2 linked regions of the Stegostoma tigrinum genome follow. The protein of the gene in region 1 purifies or fractionates together with the protein of each later gene. This does not show direct contact. Links are inferred from orthologs where the notes say so. Each region holds a gene or a part of one and is shown in the gene's direction. Other genes may lie near its edges.

What was found.
Region 2: the proteins of casp3b (region 1) and cryabb purify together in Homo sapiens (affinity purification with western blotting; 3 studies listed by BioGRID). This does not show direct contact. The link is inferred for Stegostoma tigrinum from reciprocal best matches to the Homo sapiens genes CASP3 and CRYAB.

The regions. Positions count from the first base shown.
Region 1 is NC_081356.1:113,752,630-113,762,448, forward strand, and holds the start of casp3b (caspase-3b), read left to right. Parts: upstream 1-6,315; 5' UTR 6,316-6,519; intron 6,520-6,679; 5' UTR 6,680-6,766; intron 6,767-9,819. Other genes in the region: primpol (DNA-directed primase/polymerase protein), read right to left, coding at 1,726-1,905. UniProt on the Homo sapiens protein: Thiol protease that acts as a major effector caspase involved in the execution phase of apoptosis. Following cleavage and activation by initiator caspases (CASP8, CASP9 and/or CASP10), mediates execution of apoptosis by catalyzing cleavage of many proteins.
Region 2 is NC_081385.1:12,616,451-12,625,225, reverse strand, and holds the start of cryabb (crystallin, alpha B, b), read left to right. Parts: upstream 1-5,117; 5' UTR 5,118-5,332; coding exon 5,333-5,515; intron 5,516-8,775. Other genes in the region: hspb2 (heat shock protein beta-2), read right to left, coding at 1,952-2,391, 3,241-3,556. UniProt on the Homo sapiens protein: May contribute to the transparency and refractive index of the lens. Has chaperone-like activity, preventing aggregation of various proteins under a wide range of stress conditions.

The DNA.
Region 1 (9,819 bases):
GAAGCAGAGATGGATCATGCACTCAGCACTGCTGGCTGAAGGCTGCTGTGAATGCTTTGGCTTTATCTTGTACACTGCTTGGTTATTCCATCATTGAGGACAGGGATATTTGTGGAGCCTCCTCCTGCAGTGGGTTGTTTCATTGTCCACCAACATTCACAACTGGATGTGGCAGGACTGCAGAGCTTAGATCTGATCCATTGGCTGTGGGATTCCTTGGCTCTGTCTATCACTTGCTGCTTTCGCTGTTTGACATGCAAGTAGTCCTCTTTGGTGGCTTTACGAGGTTGATATCTCATGATCAGGTATACCTGGTGCTGCTTCTGGCATGCCCTCCTGCACTATCCATTGAACCAGGGTTGATCCACTGGCTTAACGGTAATAGTCGAGTTGGGGATATGCTGGGCCATGAGGTTACAGATTGTGCTGGGTACACCTCTGCAGCTGTTAAGGCCCACAGCGCCTCATGGATGCCTAGTCTTGAGTGCTTGATCTGTGCAAAGTCTGTCTCATTTAGCACAGTGATTGTGCTACACAACAAATTGGAAGTTGTTCTCAATGCGAAGGCAGGACTTCATCTCCACAAGGACTGTGCAATGATCAATCTTACTGATACTGTCAGCAATAGATGCAACTGCAGCTGGCAGATTAGTAAGGATGAGGTCAAGTATGCTTTTCCCTCATGTTGATTCCCTCACCACCTGCTGCAGACCCAGTCTAGCAGCTAGGTCTGTTAGGACCCAACCAGCTTGATCGGTAGTACTGCTGCTGAGCCACTCTTGGTGTTGGACATTGAAATCCCCCACCCAGAGTACATTTTGTGCCCTTGTCATCCTCAGCGCTTCCTCTAAGTGTTGTTCAACATGGAGGATTACCAATTCATCAGCTGAGGGAGGACAGTACATGGTTATCTCCAGGAGGTTTCCGTGCCCACGTTTAACCTTAAGCCATGAAGCCTTCAACATTGAGGACTCCTACAGCAACACCATCCCAACTGTATATCACTGTGCCTCCAACTTTGCTGGGTCTGTCCTGTCGTGGGACAAGACATACCCAGAGATGGTGATGGTGGTGACTGGGACATTGTCATACTCACAGAATCATACCTTACAGACAATGTCAGGCTGTTGCTTAAATAGTCTGTGAGGCAGCTAGCCCAATTTTGGCACTAACCCCCAGGTGTTAGTGACGAGAACTTTGCAGGGTTAAAAGGCTGTTTCTGCTATTGTCTTTTCTGGTGCCTAGGTCGCTGCCAGGTGATCCGTCCAGTTTCATTTCTTTGAGACTTCATAGCAATTGGCACACCGAGTGGCTTGCTAGGCCATTTCAGAGGGCAGCTGAGAGTCAACTGTATTGCTGTGGGTCTGGAGTCACATGTAAGACAGACCAGGTGAGGATGACAGATTTAGTCCCCTGAGGGACATTAGTGAGCCAGATGTGTTTTTCCGACAATTGGCAATGATTTCATGGTGATCAGCAGATTCTTAATTCCAGGATTTTTTTAAAATTCAAATTCCACCATCCGCCATGGTGGGATTTGAACCCGGGTCCCTCAGACCATCAGCCGAGTTTCTGGATTAATAGTCTAGCAATAATACCACTAGGCCAATGACTCCTCCAGTTGTTCAGAGAATGCTTACTTCCTTCCTAGGAATCCAGATGATAATCATTGTACAATGAATCTCAATTCACATTTCTAAAATACAACAATATATTTTACTTTACCGCCTTACAACTCTTGACAAAATTAAAAGCTTGATGCTGGCGATGAAACAACTTCCAAACTGATGATGGTTGCCATGGTTTTGAAAGTTTTGGTCTGTAAGTCTGCCTGATGGGGTTTTTCTGATAACTGCTTGCCAAAGTTTCAATGTCCTTAATCCTTTGCTGCCAGTTCTTCTTCATACTCTGAAGAATGGTATAACAATTAGTTGAAGCTCTCTTAAGATCACAAAACAAATTAGGTTCAGGAAAGTTAACATTTCTTCTTAGTTTCATATCTTATTTGCTTTATTTGTCAAAAAAGGATATACAGATTTACTGACCGCTTAAACATACTTGCCACAAGTGCATAACTGTTTGGTAATAAAATTTGCCTTTCTTCCCCTCCTAATATATTAATTCCCAATATTTAAAATGTTTACCTGTAATGAATACTTTGAGTGGATTGTTCTTTAGTTTCCTTAATTTTTCTCCACAAGAAAACTAAAAGGAGAAAGAAAGTGTAATATTGGCATCAACTGAATTTAGAATAAGTGATGAGAAACAATGGGTTAGCTGCTCAACCTTATGACATGTTCTCACCCCACTGAAAACACATGCAGCAAGTAAATGTAATATTGGGGGGGTAGGTGGGGGAAGGTGTTGGTGGTGGCAGTGGTGGTATAATGGTAAAAGTAAGAATGGTCTAGTAATTCAGAAGCCCAGGCTAATGTTCTGGGGCATTGGTTTAAATCCCACAAAGCAGATGGTGAAATTCTATTTTAAAATATAAAATTCTGTAATAATATAGCAACCATGTAACCACCATCAATTGTTTTAAAATCCCATCTGGTTCATAAATGGCCTCTAGGGATAGGAACCTGCCATCCTTTTTCAGGTCTGGCCTATATGCAACTCCAGACCTACAGCTATGCATTTGACTCTTAACTGTCCCCTGGCCAATTAGGGATGGCCCAATAAATGGTGGCCGAGCCACTGTTGCTCACATCTCAACAACAAATTTTAAACAGAAGTCATTTGTTTCTTTTGATGTGGAGGTGCCAGTGTTGGACTGGGGTAGATAAATTCACTTCATCTGATGAAACAGCAGTGCCACAGAGCTTGTGATTTCAAATAAAGCTGTTGGGACTATAACCTGGTGTTGTATGACGTCTAAATTTTGAGATTGGTTCACTCGCCAAGCTCGTTCGTTAATTTGCAGGCATTTTATTACCCTGCTGGGTAACATCATCAGTGCAGCCACCAATAAAGCACTACTGTGTTTTCCCACCTGGTATTTAAACTCTGGGGTCCATTGGATTTGGTTACCTCATTTCTGGTTTTCCTTCACAGTGGTGTATATATAGGGTCTAGTTCTATGGGTTTGTTGACGGCCTTCTTGGTGGAGAACGAGGCCTCTAGGAATTCCCATGCTTGTCTCTGTTTGGCCTGTCCTAGGATCCTGGTTTGTTCCAATCAAACTGGTAGTTCTTCTTATCCGTGTGAACGGAGACGAGTGAGTCTTTTTGTTGCTAGTTGGTGGTCACGTACTTGCGGCCAACTTTCTTCTTGTCTGTCCGATGAAACATTTGTCGTAGTCCTTGCATGGAATTCTGTACATTATGTTGGTTCTGTCCAAAGTGGATAAGGGGTCCTTGGTTCCAATGAGCAGTTGGCGTAGGGTTGACTGAGTTTGTGTGCTACTCTAATGCCCAATGGTCATAGGAGTCTTGTGGTCAGTTCAGACATTTTCTCAACGTATGGTAGCATGATGAATGCGTTAGTGCATGTGGTATCTTCCTGTTGTTGTTTGTATGATAGGCATCGTCGGATCTAGTTGTTCGGGTATCCATTGTCCTTAAATACTTGGAGGAGGTACTGTTCTTCTTTTTGGCATAGCTCCGGGTTGCTACAGCATGTTGCCGCTTGTTTAAATAGTGTTTTCACGCAGCTTTGTTCGTGGATGTTGGGGTGGTTACTGACGAAATTCAGTGCTTGATCAATGTGTGTGGCTTTTCTGTGTACTTCATCAGGAGTTCCCCGTTGGCCCTGCGTTCTACCACAATGTCCAGGAATAGGAGCTATTCGTTCTTTTCCTCTTCTGTGGTGAATCTGATGCCAATGAGTGTGTTGTTTATTAGTTGGTGTGTCTCCTCTAGTTTGGTCTGTTTGAAGACGATGAAAGTATCATCCACAAATCGGATCCATACTTTGTGTTGGATTTGTGGAAGGGCCATGCTTTCGAGTCTCTGCATCACCGCTTAAGCTATTAGTCTGGAGATAGGTGACCCCATGGGTATCCCGCTGATCTGTTCATTGATCTGTCCATTAACAGTAAAGATGGTCATGAGGCCTAAGTCCAGTATTTTCAGCACATAGTCTGTGGAGATGGTGTCACTCAGGTCTTGTTCTTTTAGCAGTGTTGCAAGTGTTTCCCTTGTCAGTGGTACGTCAATCGATGTGAATAGGGCAGTAATGTGAAAGGACACCATGGTCTCATCATCAACTATTCTTACGTCCTTGAGGGAAGTGACGAACTCCTGGGCTGAGTGGATTGAGTGAGTTGACTTGCTGACGAGGTGCTTTAGACTTCGTTGTAACTTCTTGGCTAACCTGTGTGTTGGTGTGCCTGAGAGGGAGACTATGGGTCTGAGGGGTACTTCCAGTTTGTGTACCTTTGTGAGGCTGCAGAATTATGGGGTGTTTGTCGCTTCTGGTTCCATTTTTGGGTGGTCTGTTTTGTTGATGTGTCTGGTCTGTTTGAGTCTCTTTAGTGTGTAGATTATTTTATTACCCAGCTGTTGGGTCTATTTGCACTTGCCAGTACATGCTTGTGTCTGCTAGTAGTGTCTGTGCATTAGTGAGGTAGTCCCGTTTGTTTAGTATTATGACATTTTTGTCTTTTATCAGTCCTTCGAGGGCCTTCCATTCTGATGTGTTGAGAATGTAATATTCGCTCCTGCTGGTCAGTGTCAGGATTATTGTCTGTCTTACAGCTTGTTGCGTTTCCTCATTGATGCTGTTGGTCTTGAGTGTGGCTTCTAGTGTGGCAAGAAATTCTGTCTTGTTAGCGTGTCTATGGTATAGTTGAGTACACGTATTAGAACAGCTTTTTCTATGTCTGTTAGTTTCCTGTCTGAAAGTTTTTTTTATCCAAGTGTCTGACCTACGGTTGTCCTTTTGGTGAGTTAGTTTGGCTAGTTTTTCTTAGAGGATCTGTGTTTTCTTGGTTCTTGTTATCTGTTGACTGACATTATTGGCTCATTCTAAGTCTGTTGTCCAGTCTAGGTTGGTAGCGTCTAGAAATAGGGTTTTTCGGCGTGTAATTTCTCTGTCATATCTATGGAGCCAGTTGTATGCGTTGTTGATCATTGTCTTCACCATCCTGTGGCCACTGTGTTCTACTGTCCGTGGGTTGTTGATGGGCATTCTGTATTTCACACTGCACCCATCCATGTAGGAAGTCGAGTTGGGTGGCACTGTGGTTAATACTGTTGCCTCACAATGCCAGGCACCCAGGTTTGGGTCACTGTCTGTGTCAAGTTTGCATGTGCTCCCTGTGTCCGAGTGCTGCTGGATGCTCCGGTTTCCCACCCCAGTCCAAAGATGTGCAGGTTAGGTGGATTGCCCCTGAACCAACCGCAGCATTCACAACTAGAGTGACAAATCTACTCAAGAACCTTAGACATCTGAATTTTTTTCTTACACCACAAATATTGCTAAGGCCTGCTTTGTTCCTGCAACACTTTGTTTTCATTTGAGAAAAAAAATATAATGCCAGATGATCAGAGAATAGACAGGCGCTGAGAGGCAACAGCTTATATGGTGTAGAGAGAAGGCATGCCCAAACAATGCCTTCCATACCTCAAGGAAGTCTCAGATATTTCAGTTCATGAATTACTTTTGAAGTGTTGTCGCTACTATTGGGACATCAGTCAATTTGCACACAAGACTCCCAAATGCGTTATGAGATAAACAATCTGTTTTGAAAAGACAGATTAATTTCAGGCAAGACATTAATTCACAAATACAATTTACAAACAGTGGAAGTCCCAAGAATCATTTGTAGATTCTTCAATTTAGGATTCCCCTTTCTGAGGCCAGGATCTTCTCAACGCATTCTTGCTTTAAGACGACTTACCCTTTTTACATATCATTTATAGATTTTACCCTTAACGGAGCTAAGCCACAGGCCACAGTTATTTAGTTAACAAATAAGGGCATTTAGGATCGGCAATATATGCCAACCTTCACTAAGCGAATAGGTAATACACATTCTAAAACAGGATGAATAATCTAACAACGAGACTGGTTTCAAATGAATCTTCAGAGTCAAGCAGACTCAAGCATTAAAATACAAAGTGAAAAGTACTGGGACAATCACTAATTCAGCGGTAGAGCAAAATGACAAACGACAAATATATACATTTCAGTCGACAGGGTCTAAGATACTCACTTAGGTCCTTCAGTCAAAAAAATCATCACAAACTGAGCGCGAAACGGATTGACCAGTGAGAAAGGCACTGGATGGCGCAATTCGCAGAAGGAAGACAAGGCGGAGCCGTGTTTGGGGGAAGGGAGGAAGAGCGACGACCCGCCGGCGGGAACAGCCGAGACCAGAACCAGCGGCGAACTACCTCTGCACTGCGCCTGCGGCCTCCGGGGTTGGGGGCGGGGACACGGCTGGAAGTCGCGCTCCGGGATCAACAGGCGCGCGCTCGGAACGGGGAGCGGTTGGTGATGTGACGTTAGCGGCAGCTCGCGTTTCAGTCCGAGTTGGAACCGGTCCGGGCTGGATGTTATGTGAAGGAGTGAAAGGTGGGTGTCTTTTTTTTACATTGCTGCTTGTCCATTCAGTCTTCAGCTCGCTCTATCAATAAACAATAAGTTCGACTTGCACTGTCAGTGGATGGTGTTTACCATGTGCTAAGTTTTTGTTTTAAAACTCTCTCTTCCCCCCTCTGTCTTTGTGTCTCAGGTGCAGTAGATATCCCCCACTCATTCTGCCTGCTCTTCGATCAGCAGCATCCTCCTGTCTCATCACTGCTTTTGTTGTTCTAACCTGGTGAGTTTTGCAGTATGAATGAGTTAAAGAGAATACTGCGCTGCTTTTTTTTTAAAATGAGGGTGTATTTGCCTAAAGTATATAAATTACGAAAGTTGCCAGAGTGGCAGTGTAGAGTTCGTGTAGTTGTTTTACCTTCATTTGTGTCTTTCCTCCGAGGTTTTCAAAATTAAAACTATCTTTGGGGATCCAGAAAGCTTAGAACTGATTTTCACGTGTTTTTTTTAATGTTGAGAAGGCGACCTCCTGTCAGGTATGTATTATGTTGCTACCTGCCCGTTCACGCCAGCGCCTGTTTCAGGATGAAACTAAAACCATCCACAGACTCGCCTCGGCAATGTTTACACAACCAAAGGAAATGAAGCCAGTCCAGCGTACTGAGTTTTCAAAAGCGTACGATTTAAAAACAAGCTGTAGTTCCGAGGATTGCTTATCAAATTATTTTGATTGGGCTGTATGCTTGTTTCCATCTCTTTCTTCCCCTACCCCATCCCCACGGAATTAAAACAATCATTCATGAGCTGAGAAATTCGTAGTTGATCGTTTTGCGTGTGTCTTAAGTTGATGCAATACTGTTTGGGTGAGCGAAACTGATAGCAGTGGTTCAATGTCTTCTTATTCACCTTGGAAGAAAGTGACCCTGCCATGGGTGCAAACAACCTGGGTAAATTAAAAGGGACCATAACAAGTGCAGTGTGGATAAACTGAAGGCCCTTGTGTGTAGTGCCATGATAACTTATTATCAGTAAGGTTATTTTTCATTTTTAATCACGTAATGGTCAAGAAAGCACAACGCCAGTGCTTCTTCAGGAGGCTAGGGAAATTTGACATGTCTGCAAAGACTCTTAACAATTTTCATAGATGCATCATAGAAAGCATTCTCTCTGGATGTGTCACAGTTTGGTATGACAACTACCGTGCCTAGGATCTTAAACTACAGAGTTGTGACCACAGCCCAGTTCATCAAGCAAGACAACTTTCCAACCATCGACTCCATCTATATTTCCCACTGCCTCAGTAAGGCAGCCAACATAATCAAAGACTCCTCCGATCCCAGTTACAATATCTTCCAACCTTATCTGTCAGGCAGAAGATACAAAAGCTTAAACACACATACCAACGACAACAGCTTCATCTCTGTTACTTGACTTCTGAGTGTACCGCTCAAATTTTAAATTTATGTTGATTTGGCTCTTTGTGCACCTTCTTTGCAGCCATTTCATTATATTCTTCACTCTGATCTAGTAACCTAAGCACTTTGTATAGTATGATCTGCCGTGTACTGCTTGCAAAACAAAACTTCACTGTACTGAGGTAAATGCGACTAATAATTTTTTAAAAAATTCAAATACATAAGACACTGGAGAAACTCATCAAATCTGGCAGCATCTATGGAAAGAGAGAGTTAATGTTCCCAGTCTGGTATGATTTCTTCAGAACTGAAGAGGAACCTGCCTGTTTCTCTCACCACAGATGTTGCCAGACTTGTTGAGTTTGTCCAGAATTTTCTCTGTTTAGGATTTACATCATCCACAATATTTTGCAGTTATTCAATTTTTTAAAATTCTATCACAGGATTTGGCAGTCACTGGTCAGATTCATGTTTATTGCTCATTCCTCATCTTTAAGAAGGTGGTGAGCCACTGTCCTGAACTATTTCAGGTTGTGTGGGTTGATATTCCCACAATGCTGGGATGAAGGGTGTACAAGGGTTTACCCAGTGATGATGAATGAATGGTGTTACAATTTCATGTCAGAATGGTGTTTGGCCTGGAGGGGTCTTTCCAAGCAGTGGTGTTCACATGTATCTGCTGCCTTTGCCCTTAGTGGTGGAAGAAGTTGTGGGTTTGGAAGGTGCTGTTTAAGAACACTTGATGAGTTACTTAAGTGTTTCCTGTAAATTGCACACATTACTACTATGTGTGTTGATGGCAGGGGGGATCAAGAGGGCTGTTTTGTCCTGGAATTTGTAAAGCCTTTTGAGTGTTGTGATTGCTGCAATCAACTAGGCAAGTGGGGAATGTTTCATCACCTCCTGACATTGTGTCTTGTAGACTAACAATGGGAAGTCAGGAGTTGAGGCAATCATTGTAGTATTGCAATATCCTTGTTCTTTTTATACTTGTTCTTGTGTGATGACACTAAATGTTGTACAAACATCCCCACTTTAGATCTGGGTAACTGGTGCCCACCACTCTCAGAAGATGTGTGTTTTGAGATATTTGATTCCATTGCACATGCTATGTAAATACAAAGTTAATTGTCTTGTTGGATATAGCTCGAAGTGCAGAGTTCCCAAAATGGTGGTCCAACATTTAAAATAGTCTGTGCTAATGCTGCAGTCAAAAATAATGTGAAAATGCTAGTTGATACAGATGTTCATTAGAGAAGTAGGTGGTTGCCTTGTAAAAATGAATAAAGTCATCGAAGGTTACTTCAGAGAGGTCAGATACATAAATTATGTGGAGCTTATGGTGGAAAAGGAGATAAGACTGAAAACAGTTTGGAAGTGTTCCATTAAATTAGAAATAATCACAGAACCAGTCCATCTCTCAATGGATTCAGATGCATTCATTTACACCAGTGCTGATGAAGTCATTTCCCATGTGGCTGTGCAAAGAGAGATTACCTCATCGTCATTGATGAAAATGCAGCTGTATAATGTGAACGAAACATATTTTCAGCATTACCTTCTAAATCCACGACGGCCTCTGACCTGGAAGGAAAGGGGTAGTACTGTATTGGAACGCAGCTCCTCAACTCTCCTCTTGTTCGTACCCTCTGTGAACTGCAGCAGTTCAAGAAGGTATCGCATTGCCACCTGCTTGGTGTCATTTTTTCTATTCATTTTGTGGGATGTGGGCATTGCTGGCCGGTCTGCATTTCTTGCCCATCCCTAGTTGCACCTGAGAAAGTGGTGGTGAGCTGCCTTCTTGAACTGAAGGAATTGTTAGGGATTGACAGCAAATGCAATTTTAGCTAGCAACATATGGATTCCATGAATGAATAAATTAAAAAAAACTCAACTTGATGTATTTGGGGAATATGTTAAA
Region 2 (8,775 bases), on another chromosome or scaffold:
CGAAGCACAGAAAAATATACAAGGTTGCCTGAACAGAGAAAATCACCTCCAAGTCAGAAGAAACTGGAAGAAATTGTTAGGTTTAGAAAGAGAGTTGCAGAAAACGCTAATGTTTCTTTTGCGAAGTGTTCTACGTGCTACAAAAATCCCGATGAAGGTGCCATCGGAAACAGGATAAGGCTGCTTTGGAGTCAAAGCTGTCACTTATTTTACTGCGTTACAATATACTTACACGTAAGAAAGGAGTGGAAAATAATTCATTCGTTGTTAGTCTCTCACAGATGAGAATGACTCTCTTCCAGCCTCAATGAGTCCATAGGTGGCTGTATAAACCAAAGCAGTTACCACAGGCAGTGTTACACTTGGGGCGGAAAGTGGTCACGGGAAGGAGTGGGTGGGACATTGATGTAGTAGCACGCTCCTTGGAGAATAGTCGCATAAGTTTTCAGTCATAGTGCATTTATAAAGGATTCGAAATAATGTAGGACTGGTAGCACCAATTCAATCAGCACTAACACTTCAAGCATGATCCTCCACTTGCAAAAGGCTGGTTAAGTTATTCTATAATGGCAACCACACAATTTCCGGACTTCAGCCAGGAGAAAAGGAGGCACTAGAAATTGAAACATCATTTGATAGTCAGCGGCACCCCCTTTCAGGAGAATTCCCCGGTGTGCAATTTGAGTAGCAAAATACAGAGTCCCATTTTAGCAGAAAACCTTGGTCAAATCCACTGAAGGATCACCACTGGAAATATCAATCTCTAATTTATGAGCTGCTGCTGAACTTATTGTGTATTTTCTACTTGTATTTTGGATTTCTGTCATTGGTCATTTTAGCTTTTAAACACGGAATTATATTTTTAGGGATAATACATTGCAGAGCTAATTTTAATTTCTAGCGGTGGTGGAAAACTGATACTTTGTGCTCCTGAGATGCTGCTTGGCCTGCTGTGCTCATCCAGCTTCACACTTTATTATCACTAATGACTGAAAGACGATTGAAGACCCCACTGGAAAATCACGTGGGCTAAATACCAACAGTACAATGCAGACTACTTGTTTTGCCGCCAATGTTGCAGGTTAAAAATAGCCCTTAAGTGATTTAACTCTGAACTCAAAGTCTTGCATTATGGCCAACGAAAAGTTAATATCATCGTTTTGAAAAATGTTTGACCTGTCCCATGCAATTTTTTTCGTTGATAAGTTACGCAAAAGCAACAGCTGAGAGCATTCCCCAAACAATTATTTCAGTGCCTTTTTAAAATTGCAGCCAAAAAGCAATAATGGTTGTCATTACAGGCATGAAATAAACACATTTTGGATACATTAGTTGTCAAAATGTTTATTAATAGATTTGGTTTGTCAAGCTGTACATCAGAAATGGCAGAAGGGATTAGCCAATAGCTCAGAGGAAAGTAGTGCAGTGCCAGGTGCAGAGACCAGGTAGGTCCCAGCCTCAATACCTCATAGGTACTTCTTTTAGCTAACAAACGTAAAAAGGAGACAGACTCAACAGTCCTGAAAGTTAAACTGGAGAGATGCATCCTTAGCTGGCAAGTCAGGCTGAGCCATGAAAGTGTGAAGAAGCTGGGAAGATGCTAGGGGCACATTTGTAAATGTTCTCCAATATGTGTCATTTTCTTCCAGAGAACAGGAGCAAAAGACAGTAAAGGCATGAATTAATCGTGATACTAACCATCAGGTTTCATTTGCGTCTAATATTAATAAGTAGCTTTATAAATACAGAAGATATTAAAATACGTCAAAATTAGTCTTTTTCTAGGTTTATTTGCAACTTTAAATAACTGATAACTTACTTGTAACCCAATCATTGTAATATTTCTCCCTGTTTTCCAGAGTAGACTCTGGTGTTTCAGCAGAGGGCCCGCTATCAAAATCAATCACAGAAGGTCTTCCCATTCCTACTGCAGGAGCTACTTATCCTTCTGTTACTCTCTTCTGGTATCTTCCCCAGGGTCCTTTACCATGGGTGCCGACTCCACATTGATTTTCACGTGGTTTACTTTGGGTTGCATCTCATCTCCTTTTCTCTGCGCCTCAATGCACAGGATACCATCATGGGACAGTGATGACCGAACAAGCAGAGGGTCCACGTCCAGGGGTAGGATGTAGGTACGGGTGAACTCCCGGGAGATAAACCCATGACTGTCCAGTTTCTGCGGATGTCTTCCAGACACTTCCAGAAGGTTGTCCACTGTCCGGACTGTGATCTCATCCGGCAGGAAATGACAGACGTCCAGAAATACCCGAAATTTATGATGCTTTGTTTCAATTCTTGAAAAGCCTCTGTCCAGCTGCTTATTGATCCTGGGTCTGATATAGTAACCATGGTATAATGTAGGAGCTAAAATATCTTCTGGTGACAAACCTGAAAAATGTATTGGAGGTTATCAAACTGTAAGACATAGAGGTGTAGCTTTAGTACAGACCATCCAACTACATTATATTTAAGTTAACGTGATTTTTAAAAAATGCTTTACTTTATATTCAAAAGTATGATATGCTATTCAGTGAGGAAAAAATTTGAATTTAAATGTTGTTAGCTTACTGGTGCTGTTTTAACGCTCTGCACATCCTGGATATTAGTGGGTGTAATGTTGTCCCTGGGCCCTGGGAGTTACACAGTTATGTACAGACGGCCCAGAATTGTATTCTGCGGATCTTCAAACGCACATATCCCTCCCTCACCAAACACACACGTTAGAAGATGGTCGGTCAGGCCATTCGGTGCCACCTCCAGACTGTACAGCTCTGATCATTTTTGAAGGATAGTGGGGTCCAGGGAATACAGTGCTGGCTTTAAAGCAGAGATCGGAAGGCTGTAGGGTGAAGGCGAGAAGTGTACGCTGGAAGATGTGGTTAGCAGCTCCTGGATGCATGGTCTACTGCACTGCACTTTCAGAGAGGGCGCGTTAAGCAGGGTTCAACATCACCTGTAAATACCGCGAAAAGTCAGACTGGACTCAGTACGGATGCTGCTAAACCTGCTGAGTCTCTGCAGCACTATTTGAAGTTATAACTAGTACGAATTCACTTAAGAATTCACATGTCCTTCCAAAACACACAGGGCTGTTTACTGTAGCCCCAACTACAAGCAGTGGATTTTTGGGAAATTCACTCAGCCCGGATTCGAAACTATTGAAACACACAGAGCTGTGCTTGACAGGGATGCAATGGTCACGCACAACTTCACTGTCAAAAGCCGAAATAAACTAACCTTCCCCGAAGTTCTGGTCGTGGATAACTGTCGGTGTTTCCTTCTCGTACTCTACACTCATCGGGTAAGCATGTGGGATGGTCTTGTCCTCCATTGTAGGGGTCAGCGAGCACATAAGCCCAGCACCAAACACACTGGTCTGTTCAGCCTGACCCAGCAGCAGACTGAGGTCACTCCGTCTCAGGAAGCTGAGCGTGGTTTCTGTCTGGACATTCCTGAGGGAGGGGGCTGTTAAACTAGGACGGAAATAGACTAGGACACTGAGAAAGAATGGGAACGTTCCTAAACCACTGGAGATCTCCTCTGGGAAGCACATATGCTCACTACTATTACACCCTGGACCTTGTTTTTATAAATCAAAGAACTGTTGGAAATCTGAAACACAACAAGCAATTGCTGGAGAAACTCTCCAAGGTCTGGCATCATCCCGAGAGGTGACTGTACTGGAACTGTTAACACTGCTTTCTCTCCAAGATACTGTTTTGTGCCCTGGTTGTGGGTTGCTCACATTGTCTTCTGGTTAGGGAATTCAGAATCCACTCAGGACGACCTGTAAAATGAAATAAAACAAAGAACTATGTTGGAAATCTGAAACGAAAACAGAGAAAGCTAGAGAAACTCGGCAGGTCTGGCAACAGCTACGGACAGCGAAATAACATTCCAAGTCCAGTCACCCTTCCAACAGATTCTGGCGGAACTGCCGAGTTTCTCCAGCATTCTCAGTTCCTGTAAAATTAAAAGTTTATAAACATGCGGAGACGAATGGTCAAAATTACATACGACAACACTTCATCTATAAAGAATTTTTTAAAAAAAATGGCTGAACTACTTTTGGTCAGTAAGGATTCACAAATAAAATTCCTTCTGTAGGTTACTCGGGTCTGTTTCCGTGGGAAGGACAAAGCGAGAGAAGGAGTTCTCCTGGATGACCATGAGGCAGCTGCATAGAGAGAAGCACCATCCAAGTGTTACTTTCATTCCAAGCCACGTGAAATCACAACGATCTATCACTGGTTTCCAAGTTGAGGCAGACTCGTCGTTGCACTGACCAGCTATGTGCGCAGTGTCAATTCTGTAGAAAACTTTTTAGAAAATAACTTTAAAACCATGCTTCGAATGTCCCAATGAAAATAAATATAACGAAACATTTTTAAAAGTTGGCCATTAAAAGTTATTTTGTGATGGATAATTCTATCTGCAAGTACATAGTCATTTGTACTAATTTTAGTGTAGTGCACATTTTAATATTACAGCTGTTAGCGACTTCGGTCCTTACTAAGGGCAATTATAAGAGTAAGTACTGGAGTAACTTTACATTGCAATTTTGGAAGGACGTATAAGGAATCCAGCATCTTCTGAAATAGCTATTTTGCTCTGGTTAATTTGTTTTTTTTTCAGTATGGAGAAATGAGACAATTATTCTATGAGATAATTATTTCACTTACAGTCTTCCTTACTTTTTAAAGACTCTGGAAGACATAAAACACGGCGAGAGAATGAAATAGTTCTGTCCAGATAATTCTCTGTTAAGCATTCAGTCACTGCCAGAAACTACACATACCCAGAAAGTTGACATCAGAGGCTTATCACTGGGAGTCTATTTCTGAATTGCAATCCTTCTGTTTGCCATCTTCAATGTTTAAATTCAACATTCAGATAAACGATCAGACAGAGACACAAAAGGAAATAAAATCTTTAATCATTCATTTTTTAAAACAAAACCCGAAACAACATAATATTCCTCTCAGTACAATGGTCTCCTATTGAAATGCCATGAGGTCATCTTCTGTGGCATTCTGAAGCAGTGCCAGCAGAGGAAAAGAGTGATCAGCAGAGCTTTATCCAGCAACGCAGAGACTGGTCCACTGCTTGTGTCAGTTCTAATCCTCCCCCCTAAAACATAAATCCCTAAACAATGAAATCACATGACAGAGTCAATCAGCCTTTCATCAGTTTTCCAGAAAGTTCAACACGTTCGGCGTCATTGTGTATATAAAGGACTGAGACACCAACTGGCCTTCAACCAGCCCCTGGACTGAAGACAGCACAACCACACTGATACACATCCTGCTAATTTTAGAGGAAAGTGAAGATGGACATTGCAGTTCAGACTCCATGGCTACGGCGCTCCCTCATGCCAAATTTCCTCTTCCCCTCCCGTATCTATGACCAGCATTTTGGGGAAAACCTCGATCCTGACTTCTTCCCCTTCTACTGGCGAATGCCATCATCATTGTTCAGGATGCCAAGCTGGGTACAATCTGGACTATCAGAGGTATGTTCGGTGCAAAGTATCCTTAAAGTTGTGGCATTTTCCTAAAATATTTGTTTAACATTTGAATTTCACCACTCGAATCAATCTTTGTGGATGTGTTGCCTGCCTCATAACAATAACGAATGTGCCTAATTGTTCTATGTGTGTATATATATAAAATAAAGAGGAAGGTAACAAACACATAGGTCTGTATGATGAAGTGGAAGATAAATAAACATGTTTATCTATATGATAGAGTGGAAGAAAATAAACATATATGTATCTCTATATGATAATGAGGAAAGGGGGGACATAATATCAGAATAAGGGGACAGCCATTTCAAACTGAGCTCTGAAGAACTTTCTTTGCTAAGAGGTTTGTGGACCTTTGGAAATTTCCATCTGAGAAGGCTATGGATGAGTAGTTGTAGACTATATTCAAGACCAAGTTGATGGAATGAAAGGACATGATAGGATGGGTGTTTGTGAATGGGGGGATGGGGCCTTTTAGGAAAGTGAAGATAACCTTGAGGATCTCTGGAGGCTGGAAATGTTGACTGGACTTGTCCCGCACCTATTTCTTAAGCTCTTACATTGAATCTGTATACACATAAATATATAACTAATTAATACACTTAATTAGTGCAATTAATGGTAAATAATAAGTTTTTTTGACAAATAAATCCGAAGCTGGAACAGTAAGCTCTGTTACCATCTGCAAATTGAAATAAAGGAAAGTTAATGGAATATTGATTTTTCCCTGTAACCTCAAGGCACGTTATGAGGACCAAAGGCTTAGGCTTAATTTTCTGTATCTGAACACATTAATTCCCCAGAAAGCAAGAGTAAGAAAATCTCTGATTGCTGGTAACCTGAAAAGAACCAAAGGAAATGCTACAAATAAATATGATTCACTGGTACATGATAAGTCTTCCAAAGTAACATATAGGACTAAGGTGAGGGGTTCTTGTGCACAAAGGTAATATCCCTACACCAGGGCTCACGTCCTATCCATTCTGAGGGTATATCATCATACATCAGTACAGCTTCATTGAAAATAATTTAGTATCTTGTGGCAGTTTGATAGTCTCCTCCCATTGGGTCAGAAAGTCTGGGTTTAAGTCCTACTTGTCATAGAGGTGTATCCTAACATGTTTGAATAAGCTAATTAAAATATAAATATTTATTGATCAAGGTTTGAACTCTGCTTTAGCTAATAAAATATGAATCACTATGTTGCCTTATCCAGTCTTGTATTTGGTCAGCAAAACCCAAAGTAACTACAAAGTACCCCACTTTCTCCATCCTCCAAAAAGAGGATACAAATATTAATAGTAAAAATTAGCTCAAATTTAAATAACTTAAATTAACAAGTTGGTAATTGTTAAAGCAGTCAATGTCCTGTGATGCTGATTGGGCACATACCTGTGATTGAGCTTTGGAACAAAGTGAGATGCTTACTGATACAAATATGTGGATTAGCAGCATGAGTCAGCCACTTGGTTCCTCATGCTGCTCTGCCAGCTAATAAGATCCCGGGTGATCTCATTGCTCCACATTTCCACCTATTCCCTATACCTTCTTATCTCTTTATTTATGATAACCTTACTCATACATTACCAAAAGGATGTGGATGCTTTGGAGAGGGTGCAGAGGAGGTTCACCAGGATGTTGCCTGGTATGGAGGGTGCTAGCTATGAAGAGAGGTTGAGTAATTTAGGATTATTTACATTAGAAAGACAGAGATTGAGGGGGGACCTGACTGAGGTCTACAAAATCATGAGGGGTATAGACAGGGTGGTAGCAAGAAGCTTTTTCCCAGAGTGGGGGACTCAATTACTAGGGGTCATGAGTTCAAAGTGAGAGGAGGAAAGTTTAAGGGAGATATGCGCGGAAAGTTCTTTACACAGAGGGTAGTGGGTGCCTGGAACGTGTTGCTAGCGGAGGTGGTAGACGCAGACATGATTGTGTCTTTTAAGATATATTTGGACAGGTACATGGATGGGCAGGGAGCAAAGGGACACAGACCCTTAGAAAATAGATGACAGGTTAGACAGAGGATCTTGATCGGCGCAGGCTTGGAGGGCCGAAGGGCCTGTTCCTGTGCTGTAATTTTCTTTGTTCTTTGTTCTTATACCGGACTCTTCTACAAACGATATTGTCAATGCCAGTAGCCAGTTGCTTTAAGATTAAATATTACATGTAGGATGTAGGTTTGAGTTTTTTTGGTTTTCTGGTTTATTTCCAAATGCAACAATGAATATTTGGAAACAATTGCAGTCTCACTCAAATAGACCATAAGATTGCTTGTCTTCGAGAAGTATCAAAATTCTAAATTTGTGTTAAGTTGCACAGTTGGAGTAGGGGCAATCAAGCATTACTGGAGATCATGAGATGCCAACAAACTGGTAAATAGGAGATTGACCGTATCCCTGTCCTTTAAGTTAGAAATTAAATTTAAGAAAGTTTTAAAGTTTGAAGTTTTAAAGTTTGAAACCTTAGGCCTTATATTATCTGAGTACATTCTCTATAATTCTAGTAAAAATGCTTCACGTTAGAATGAGTTAACATTTCTCAACAATGTCTGCCTTTGTGCAGTTCAATCTGTCCGTTCATATGACTTTATTTATTCTTTGCTCTGTGGGTTGAGTTTACATGCCAGAATGTTGTTTATGAAAAGAATGTTCCGGTAGGACCCACTGAAAGCTGGCCAACAAATTACCATGGAACAATTTACGGCTAATGGAAATCATAATATTGTGCCCTCAATTATCCTGATATCTAAATTAAATAATGTTATGAAATTGCAAAATAAATTTGAATTTCTCTGTACCATTACCCGGCAAGCTGCTAGGACTTGTGTAGAAGAATCTTATTCTCTGATTTTTGCTTCTTCTTTCTCTATGATGACTTAGTTACTCTCTGAAAAGAGTGATCATCTCCTTTTCATGATCTACCAGGGATCAGATACATTTGACACCTCTGACAATATTGTTGTGAATCTATGTCATTTAAAGCTCAGAATGAGAAAAGTTGGACCATTAGAACTCATTGCTTTAGTGCTTATTGCTAGAAAGATTCTTTTCATTACCATCTGCTTGAATCAACAAGTGGCAAGTTAGATTTATACACAAGCAGTAGGTAGTCACTACTTAATGATAAAAGTCTAACTACCTTTCCTTGTCATTTGTTGACCTGACCATCTTTGAATCTTCTACCATTGAAATTGACGAGCAATTCAGCCCAGAACAAAATGCTGTAGTTTCTTGAGCCAGCCAGCA